2 linked regions of the Drosophila melanogaster genome follow. The protein of the gene in region 1 interacts with the protein of each later gene in a pairwise test. Each region holds a gene or a part of one and is shown in the gene's direction. Other genes may lie near its edges.

Region 1 (3,969 bases):
TCTATAGAAATGTCCTGTCCACTCTGATCCCTTAATGCTTGGCCATAACCAAGGATTCTGCAGTGCAATTCGACAAAATTGTTTTCCCTTCGGTGCGACGTAGTGAAAATGTATTAAACTTAAATATTCATAAAGTGCAAGTCAAAGCCGGGCAATTCAATAAAGCCGAATCCATATTGAATTGACTGCCAGCGTTGGGAGATCTCCATAAATAAGGCATTCTGTTGCAAAGATTGGCACTTTATGTAATCCCAGCGAACAAGGCGTGGGAATTGACTTAATGTGGCCAGCATGGCCAGCAGGGCAGCATGGCAGCACCTTGAACTTCGACAGAGTTTGGCCAAGGACTTTTTCGGAGGGACGCTGACGCGGACAAGGACTCAACGGGTGGTCGCCTGAAGGAATATTGACGTTTTTTCAATTAAACCCGACCAGCAGGCACTTTGTCGGTGGTATTTATGGCGCTCGGTTAGTTCTATTTTTACGAGAGGGCGAACAAACAAATGGGTACCAGTGTCAATAGTGTAACTGTAGCTTTTCCAGCTGGCTAAATATACGCACAAATATACATGTGCGCATATATACGATATATATCCCATATCCTGTGGCAGATAAATAAGTCGCATTGAAGCTAAGCGGAAAAAACACGCGTACACACACGCACCGTTGGGCGCACATACACATACACTCTAACATATGTACACACGAAGACGCACGCACACACGTGCTTAGAAAAAGAGACATTAGAGAGTGTCTTTCGGGTAACTTTGTCCGTCTTTTTCCGCTTTTCCGCTTTTCTCAGCGCTAAAACAAGTGGAAAGTCAAGCAAGTTGGACACGCGCTAAGTTTTACAATTTCCCGCTGAAGGTCTTGTCGCCCCCTTTTCCGGCCCCGTCCACGCCCCCCGCCCTCGTTCAACACTCCTGTCGACCTGCCAAACAACTAACGCACATTTCCGTTTCCGCTTATGCCACAAAATGGCCAAAAGTGGCCTGGTGATTAGTTACGATTTTTTTCTGTTTGTTTCCTGCCGCTCTAACGCTTAATTTCTCTCCTTGTTGCCGCGCTGGCTCTGGTTTTTATTGCTTTCAATGCCTTTTTTTTTGCTTCTTGATTGCAGACAGCATCTACGAGGCGAAAACAAACAGAACGGCCGCCGCGAGTTTTTTGGCCAACGGAAGGGACTCGAGCAACCGACGCAACAGACGACTCAGGGTGGACTGAAAATCACTTTCTCTTCTCCCGCAGCAGCAGCGCAATTTCTGCAGCCAGCGGAGAGAAAGCCTTTCGCCGTGAAGCAGTGCGCACTGCTTGCTGCACGGTGGGCGCCAGAGATTTGAAATTCTTATCTGGATTTTCAGATTTAGTACATGAAGCAATAATTGAAATTAGTTTCAAACTGATATAATAAATAATGTTTGAATATATACATACAATTTCATACCTTCTATTTTTTAGCCTTAATTTTTGGCCCAGGGAACTTGGCATGCTTCTATTATAATTAAAGAGTTTTACTGCAATGGATATATTCTAAACTATAATGGTTATATTAAACAAATAACAAAGCTAGCAATTTCAAAAACAAAACACTTAACAGACATTTTCGTTAAATATAAATATTTGCTTGGCTGGAACTTTCGTTAAAACTGATAGGTTCGTGCATTCGCTCAGCGGTGGTAAGAACACTCGCTAAACGTGTGAGCAGCTCTGTTTGTGTTCCATCTCTAGTTCAACAGCTGTTCAAATCGAGTAAATCGTAATTGCTCCTTGAATTTTTTTTATTTTTGTGGGCAACTCCTGCATTGGAGTCGGCGGTTGCGTAATAACGCGCCTCTTCCTGGTTTCTGGCTGCCACTTGGAGTTACAGTATGGCGTTGGCGCTGCGCGTTGCCCGATGCGCCGCGATTCCGGCCAACTGTTGGCCCCGCGATCGCCGGCGACTGTTACACCTGTGCAGCAGGTGAGTAGTTGACCCCAATTATCAGTCAGCATTAAAATTCAATTACCCAGCGCCAGCGATAAGAGGCCAACAGCTTTCTGCAGCAGGAACTACGCAACGAAGCCCGAAGCAGCGGTTCCACCACAAATCAAGCGAAATGTGGCCGCCGAGATAACCAGCGTGGGTAAGGTCATCTACGAAACGGGCTGGGATGCCAACAAGCCCATTGAAAAGCCAAAGGTCCGGCCCAGCAGCTCGTCGTCCACACAGCCGACGCCGTCTAAGAAACCCGAAGACGAGAAGCGCAAGGAGCTGGACACTGTGAAATCGAAACGGGATCAGATGCGAGACAATATGCAGGACTACATATTCACCCGGTACTTCAACTATGTGAAGAACTACGACAAAGTGCTCGAAAAGAACTTCCCCAAGGCCATGCAGTTGTACAGGGTGTTCTTCGATGGCGTCAAGGACTTTTTTGGCGACATGAAACGTTTCCTCAAGATTGCCCGCATTGCCAATGATTCGCCTCAAGGCATAAGAGCTTTGAATCGCCAGGAGCTGGAGCTGTACATGCAGATGCCAAGGGACATGATGAAGGTGGCACCAGCTCTGATCGGCTGCTCCCTGCCCATGGTGGGCTATGCGTTCTTTCCCCTCGTGTAAGATATGCCCTACTAAACACTCTTGCAAAATTTGGTATACCGATTTGTTCTTTCGCAGCTTTTATTACCCCCGCTCCTTTCTCACTGCCCATTTCTGGACTCCGCAGCAGCGCTCCGAGTTCCAGAGCTACTACATGAAGCGGCGATTATGCAATAACAAGGACGTCTTTCGCTGCCTGCAGGACAAGCTCAAAGCGACGGCATCGCATCCCAAGCACTCGGCTTTTGCTGACATCCTGGGCCAGCTGGGCAGCGGCACACACCCCACGCCTGAGATGCTCATCGATGTCAAAGACATATTCGCCGAAGGACCATATTCCCTGCTGGGAATGTCGCGGAAGCACGTTGTACGTTTAATCTGACACATTTTATGCAGCCTAAAGCATATCACTAATGCATACGTTCCAGAGAAACCTAGTCAACCTTCATGGACTGCCCAGTAGCATCTTCAAGCGACATCGGCTCCACGAGCACGCCTTCCTGGTGCACTACATGGACCAGGCCATAACCCGCGAGGGTGGCGTTCACAACCTGACACCGGATGCTTTGCGCTACTCCTGCTATCTGCGCGGATTGAATCCCGACAGCCTGAGCAGCGAGGCCATGATCGAGTGGCTGCGGAAGTGGGTCAAGGTGTCCACGTCGATACAAGGCGAACATATCACGCTGTTCCTGCACTTGCCCATCCTGCTGGGCTACAACCATCCCAACAACTGGAAGACCATCTACGGCAAGTGCCCCACTTGAGCGGGGTCCTCTGGTCGTTAGCTATTTGGTAGACTGTGCTTTAAAGATTGGACTGTTAAGATCATTTTGTTTCTTGAGAGCAAATAAAACCGTTAAACCAAAAGAAAGCTGGCAGTGTGCTTGTGTTTTTCCTAAAAATAACACTTTCTTTTATTTTCTCCATGGTGGTGGATGTTCATCAAGCAGTTACTTTCGTTAAAGGTAGTATTTTTTACTTCTTGGCCGCGGCCTTCTTGCCACCCTTGGCCTTCTCGGCACGCAGACGCTCGCGACGATCCTTCTTGAGGACGCGGGGAGTGCCGTCAGCCTTGGTGCGCTTCTTCAGTGTGTTGAAGGCGATGGTCAGCAGCTTGTTGCGCTGACGCTTGGCATAACGCAGCTTGAAGCGGTCAAAGTCGTTCAACGAGGAGCGCTGCAAAAGAAGACAAATTCTCATTAGTACTTGATTTATTCTGAATGTTTATGAAGACGCCTAGCTATGATTGTAATCAGATAAACTAGAATTAGCTTCATATATGTGTCAGCCGGCAATTCCTATCAAGAACTTTCAATTATCATCATGTGCAGTTCAAGGAGGTAATCAACTAGGCAGAGAAGAGGTATAACATTTTCCCCTCT
Region 2 (6,764 bases), on another chromosome or scaffold:
AAAACACAAACACTAAACATTTCAGCAATTCAATCATTCACATATGTATGTATTTATATTTCTTTTTTGTTGCTATTTAGCAATTATGCACGAGTTATCTCACGGTCAACTGGTTTTTTTCGAACGATTTTTTATTGTATTTTATACGAGTCGAATTTCGCATTGATGGAAATGCAAATAAACGCGCAGTGAGAAGAGAACATTTTCCGGGCCCCACAGCAAAAGGAAAAAGAAAATTCAAAACGGCACGCGACGCACGAACTTAATTATTTACTACGTGTGTGTGCGTGTTGTTGCACAACTACAATAAAAACTCAAAAAAAAAAAAATTAAATAAAAGCAAACAACAACGATCCAATGTCAGAGAACCACCCACACGAATTGAAAAGTCAAACGGACAAATTGAATTTCGGCCTGCAATTTACGCTTTTAATTAAATCATTAAAAGGGGGCACAAAGATTACGATTACGCCATTACAGAGCACACAGAAAATCAAGATCTGCGTATGATACCAAATTTCTGAGATTAAGTTGATATTTCATTTTTTTTTATTTTATTTTGATGGTTGAAAGATTGATATAGATAAAGACGTAAATTGAACTTTTGTTTCCTTAACATGACAAAGAAACTTGCAACCACTAAATATTTGTATATATTTTCAGTTAAATCGAATCACATGCTAAGTATATTAATAAAACGTTTGTCTTTGTAAAATCAACGAACTGTTGATCATCTATCCGTCCTGTTTTGCTCCCAGTGTAGCGGCAACAGTTGCACTGTTTGGTGTTTGGTGGCTCAAAAATGTAATTACGCACTCCAGTGCAAAAGCAATCGACAGCAAATTACATATTTGTAATGGTTTGCAATTGAACTGCTTTTAAAATTGAATAGCAATTAAATTGTTGCTTGGCAAACACGAACACACACAGCCCGAAAAAAAACCAGACAAACCACTACAGACAGACTCAGACACACACCGATAGAAACGCTGCTGCGCCGACGCAACTGCGCTGCAGAACTTCTCTTCCTCTTCTCCTTCTTCATCTTTTAATTTCTTTTACCTTTAACTATTATCTATTTTAGCATAATTTCATTCACACACCAGCTTTTGTTTGTATTGAAATTAGTCGCGGCGGCTGTAATTAAACAATGCGGTATTTCGAAACTCGCGCTGAGAACGACCGACAATAACACCAACACAGACAGGAGCGCGCCCTTCTCGCACGCACACAAATTTATTATAACACGTAAACAACAACGCCGCAACGCCGACGCAACTTATTTTTCCGGCAGCGACGCGTCCGCATACGTCCGCTCACGTTAAGTTCCGCAGAGAGAAGTTGTTGAAAACATAAACAGAATCACTTGTTGCACTCTTTGAGAAAAGTGGGGCTATTGCTGAAAAAACCAACTAAAAATATTGCAGGTTAGGGATACTCGCTCGATTGGCGTACGGCCACACTTTTGCGACTTCACTGTTAACCTCTACTTCATAGAGACTTTTACCCGATAAATGTTATGAGTTTGACTTTCTCTGTTAATCACAAGAAAAAATATTGTGGAAATTAAAATTATCTCAAATCAATAAAAAATAATAATATATACACCTATGTTTTATAGAAGTCAACAGTAAATAAGTTATTTGGAAAACCATTGTAGCCGTTTAAATAAATCTCCTTGAGTGTGTTTTAAATAACGGTCATTAAGTATATTACTTGGCCCTCTGAATTTCTTGAATTACACCATTTTTAGAAATAAATCAATCCAAAAGACTACTTTTTGGTGGCAAATGAACTGCATAAAAAGTAACAAAAGAAATATGTTTTTGAAATAACAGTATAGCTGAAGTGTATTAAAAAATACCGTCATATGAGCGACCCGCTGTTACCGCTTCGCTGCGAATGACAAAACGGGCTGAGCAAGAAAATGGCGTAGAAGGCGACGAAAATTCGTTTCACTCGTGAAGAAAACCTCGATAACTGAGGAATACAGCTGGGATTTAAAGAGCATATTCGAACTACAAGCAGAGATGTTTCCTGGTGGAAACGGAAACGCCGATTTGGGCTACAACAAGCATGCCCACGTCCATGGACTTGGACAACATGGCCATGGGCACAACCATAATCACAATCAGTTCCTGGCGCAGCCCCCACCACCCCCCACACATTTTTCACTGCCCTCCGGGGGCGGTCAGGGCATGGTGACGCCCATGGTAGCCGCCGGCCTGCCGCTCGCCATGCAGGGTGGCGTTGGCATCGATTGGGCGCAGCTCGCCCAGCAATGGATCCACATGCGGGACGCTACTCCGGTGCCCATGCCCCTGGCCCCTCCGCCGCCCATCATCAGCAATTTGCGAGAATACCACCAGCAGACGCTAGCAATGCCGGTGCCCAGTGTGGTCAGGGCGGGATTTCCGCAACTAGAGGAGCACGGCGAGGCGGATATGGACATGGACGATGAGAATGATCGGGGACATAGCACTGAGACACCCCCACCGCCAGCACCTTTGGTTACGCAATCCCAATGGCTGGCGGGCACCGAAGTGGCTGGTCAGATCCCAGACGCCTCCAACGGAGCGGGTTTGTAGAAGATCCAAGAAGATAGCACAATAAATCAGGTCAGCAACTAACCCTCCTCTCCGTTCCTTGCAGCTGTCACGCTGGGCAAGCAGCCATGGACCGGGTGGCAAATGCAGACCGACAAATCAGGCAATTCCACGGCGCATATACCATCTCTGCTGAAGCTGAACGTGAGCAATCCCAATGAGCCGCACCAACAGCTGCAGTTGCAGTTGCAAGCGCATCAGCAGCAGCAGCAGCAGCATGCTCCCCAACCAACGCATCCACACCATCCACCAGCACATCAGCCGCATGCACATCCACACCACCTAACACCACATACACACCTGCCGCCACAGCACACACAGCAGACGCATGCGGAAAGCGGAAGTAGCGGGGCTAGCAGTGAGATCGATGCAAACAAACGGAAAATGTTGCCAGCTTGGATAAGGTATGAGTGTGCAAAGAACCACAATAAGATGCACAAAAGATAGATACTTGTAATAATTTCCTTAATCTTTCAGAGAGGGCCTGGAGAAAATGGAGCGGGAAAAGCAGCGGCAACTAGAGCGCCAGCAATCCTCCATGACCACGCCAGATGTTGAGGTCAACCATGTTAAGCAAGTATCAAGCAAAACACTAACCACACCTGGTAATCTTTTGAACATCGCGAACGTGGTAAGTAAGGTCGATGGGCGGCAGGGTTAACTGACTCTCAATACGGACAGAAAAGTGCCGAAAGCGTAGCACACACCATCTCACACAAATTGGTTGCACAAAATTTAGACGGGACTGAACCAAACTGAAAACGATGTTTCGTCGTTGAAAGCACACAAAACTTAAAAACAATCCGGACAGTAGAGCAGACTGCAGGCTTGAGTGCAGGCTGTCGATTAAACATTCCCTTGAAATTCAGGCTAGCGACAGCGAAGATTCCATTGACGTGCCTGTGGAGGCGCGTGGAGAACTAAAGGTGCAGCAAATAGGTAATGAATTGATTAGTAAGGACGACGATCGAAGCAGCAGCAGCAGCGAAGAGCCAGAGTCGGAGCTGCATGGAGCCATCGAAACCGGCAATCGGACAGTGGCGGAGCACGTGAGAATGGCTACCGTAAACGATGTCAATGGTAAAAACTACGAAGAAAGACTGGCGGATCTGGTAGGCATCACCATTTGACCCGGATGTTTGCTCAGCCAGGCGATGAAATCGAGTGAGTCTCAGAGGCGAAGGAACTGCGGAATTCTGACAACACTTTACTGGCTGCTCTGCAGTTCGTTCACTCTTCACTAGAGTTTCATTCCCTGGCCATCGGCGGCACATCCAAAAAAAAAACCCATTTGTATAGTTGCAAACAATGAATATGAACACCCAATACCACCCATCTGTAGATGCTTGTGGTGCGTCGGACACTAACCGAAATCCTGCTGGAAACCACGAACGAAGAGATTGCAGCCATTGCAGGCGAGACTCTAAAAGCACACCGTGCGAAAGGTACATTATGCATTATACTTAAGTTTATCCCAAACCGATTTCTTCCAGCGCTCGCGCTCGTGTGTGTGTGTGTAAGTAGTTATAGATCGTAAGACGGCGCGGATATATCGCGGATCGATTGTAGCTTGGATGACCGGATGTTTCGGCCAAGCGATTGGAGTCGTGTTTTTTCCGGCTTCACAGCGCGTTACCAACTCTTTTAATCCTATGTCTATGCTAATAATCTTTAAATCCCTAATAATGAATTGATATATCGAACACCACACAAACCAATGAAATCACTTGCTGAATTTTTTAATTTTAATATATAATATATATAATTATATATATATATGTATGTATGTGTAAATCAAAAGCGTCATCAGCCCAAGTGATTCGCAAAAGCGCCTTGTCCTCCATTACCGGCAACTTGGGTAAGTAACCAAATTCCAGTTTAGTTCATACATATTCTTTGCACTATTTTTGTTCAGAGGTAGTCTGAGTTATGCTTGGTCATCCTGTCTTTCTATACCCCAAATCCTAATCACAAAACGAAAAGATATTACAAAGAATTGGATTACTCCTATGGCCGAGATTTAACATTCTATGCTTCCTGTAAATTTAAGCCATGGCCAAATGATTTCGACCCCCTCGGCGCAGTTTGGTCTTTCTAGCCCGCTTCTTCGTCCTTTCGCTTCCCCATTTCCCCTTCCTTTCACCTTTCCGTAAATTCTTGCGAAGATATTGAAAATCAGTTCAAAATATACCAAAATCTGCGCCCGATCTACATTGAAGCCTGGTAGCAACAATTAGCACTTGACTGATTTGAATTATAGGTTTAGCTGCCTATGGCGATTCTTCCAGCGAAACCGAGGATGATGAGGATGATGAAGATGAGCGTCAAGCGGGCGCTGGAAAGGATGCCGAAAAAAGCGCGCAGCTAAGCGCGGAGGAGTTGAAAGTAAGTTAGCCACACGTTCATTATCAAAAGATATCAATTCTCAATATTATTTGGCTTTTAGGCTCGCATAAGGCGCAGCAAACGATCCTTCGAGAAAGTCATTGACGACATTGAGGATCGAGTGGCCAAGCAAGAGCTGCTTGATGAGCAAACACTGCTGCGACATCGCAAGCGGGAGCTAGAACGCTCCGTAACTGGTGGTGGTGAGCATCGTCGACCGGCGGCCAATCCAGAACCGCCCAGTGAGTCGGCTAGTCAAGCAACCCAGGAAAAGCATCAGCAGTCAAATGGTATAGGTGATGCACATAAATCCAAAGAACTCCTAAGCATACATTGCCATCATTTAGGCAAAAGACTCAGTCGCAAGGAACGGACCACCCGCTTTAGCGACAACAAGGACGGCAAACAGCAGTCGCAGAGCTTCGTGCAACAAGTAGTGGCGACCGCTGTGGTGCCACCACCCGGAAGCCTAAGCAATAGCAGCCCACAAAAGCTGAAGCCCGTTCCCAATCCGGCCACTAATCTACTGCAGATGCCGGAGTCGGTGGCCACCATGCTGACTGCGGCTGACAAGGCGCTGCACAAGGCCAACAAGTCGTCGCATAAAAAAAGCAAGCGCCGCCACTCGTCCCCCTCGTCATCGTCTAGCAGCAGTGGGAGCAGCTCTAGCAGCGATAGCGACGACAGTAGCAGCACCTCGAGCGGATCCAAAACTTCAGGCAGCCGCAGCAAGCGATCCAGTCGGCATGGACACCGCAGCCACCACAGCAGCAGTCGGAGCAAATACGAACGTCGCGATCGCGACAGAGAAAGGGAGCGGGCGCGGGAGCGAGAGCGGGACCGTGATAGGAGTCATCGCCAGCATCGTAGTAGCCAGCTTAGTGGAAGTCACCACCAGAAACAGCGCCGACATCGCGAGTCCAGCCATTCAGGCGAAGATGCTGGCGGTAGCAGCAGTTACCACCGCTCCTCGCGGCAGAGCAGCAGCCGTAGCCATGATCATGGCAGCAACCGTAGCCATGATCACGGCAGCAGCAGCAGCGGACGGAAGCGGCACCGCACGAGATCCCGCTCCAAGTCGCGAAGCACTCACCACTCCAGCTCGAAAGCATACTCCTCCACTTCCGCGTCGCATCCGCGCAAGCGCCATTAAGAAAAATCTTGCGCGTAAAAATCCGAAGTTAATTGTTAATATTACATAATTATTATTTCTTCTGTTTAAGATGCTTTTTAGTAAACAGTTTTAAATCAGCCTAATAAATTAAAAACTCAGAAAAATTTGTTTTTTTTTCATGTGTTATGCGAATATCCTCATAATAATTAGATATATTTTTAAAGTTGGACATACGGGAATACGGGAATTAAGTTCCCAATAATACAAACAAGTAAACTTTTTTAAATTCAATAAATAATTTATTTTTTCTATAAGCAATAACATTTTTGCTAAATTAAGACTTGGTAATTAGGTAATACTATTGTTGTTCTATGGAATATTCGATCGAAACATTCTTATCAGTCTCAAAAACTTAAAACAAACTTATAATATAACCCATATGTTATAACCCATTGATGAACAAAAATTAGACTCTTTGGCCTTAGTCGACCTCCTCGACCGTGGGTCCAGAGTAGCCTCCAAATCCTCCCGCCTGCTGGCCGCAGTTTGCTCCCGGACCACCAGCTCCAGCTCCCGCACCCTGCTGATGCATCTTGGTCATGATGGGGGAGCAGTGGCGGGTGAGCTCCTCCAGCTTGTGGTCGAACTCCTCCTTCTCG

What was found. The genes of interacting proteins can lie anywhere in the genome.
Region 2: the proteins of CG5989 (region 1) and CG31211 interact in a two-hybrid assay, tested with the Drosophila melanogaster proteins (one large-scale study listed by BioGRID).

Annotation. Positions count from the first base shown.
Region 1 is NT_037436.4:8,601,897-8,605,865, reverse strand, and holds CG5989 (uncharacterized protein), read left to right. Parts: upstream 1-1,716; 5' UTR 1,717-1,868; coding exon 1,869-1,960; intron 1,961-2,010; coding exon 2,011-2,601; intron 2,602-2,662; coding exon 2,663-2,951; intron 2,952-3,012; coding exon 3,013-3,351; 3' UTR 3,352-3,455; downstream 3,456-3,969. Other genes in the region: RpL14 (ribosomal protein L14), read right to left, coding at 3,563-3,763.
Region 2 is NT_033777.3:11,947,775-11,954,538, forward strand, and holds CG31211 (uncharacterized protein), read left to right. Parts: upstream 1-1,905; 5' UTR 1,906-2,030; coding exon 2,031-2,580; intron 2,581-2,652; coding exon 2,653-3,010; intron 3,011-3,083; coding exon 3,084-3,237; intron 3,238-3,475; coding exon 3,476-3,718; intron 3,719-3,948; coding exon 3,949-4,051; intron 4,052-4,407; coding exon 4,408-4,464; intron 4,465-4,866; coding exon 4,867-4,991; intron 4,992-5,052; coding exon 5,053-6,144; 3' UTR 6,145-6,264; downstream 6,265-6,764. Other genes in the region: Hsp70Aa (heat shock protein 70 Aa), read right to left, coding at 6,587-6,764.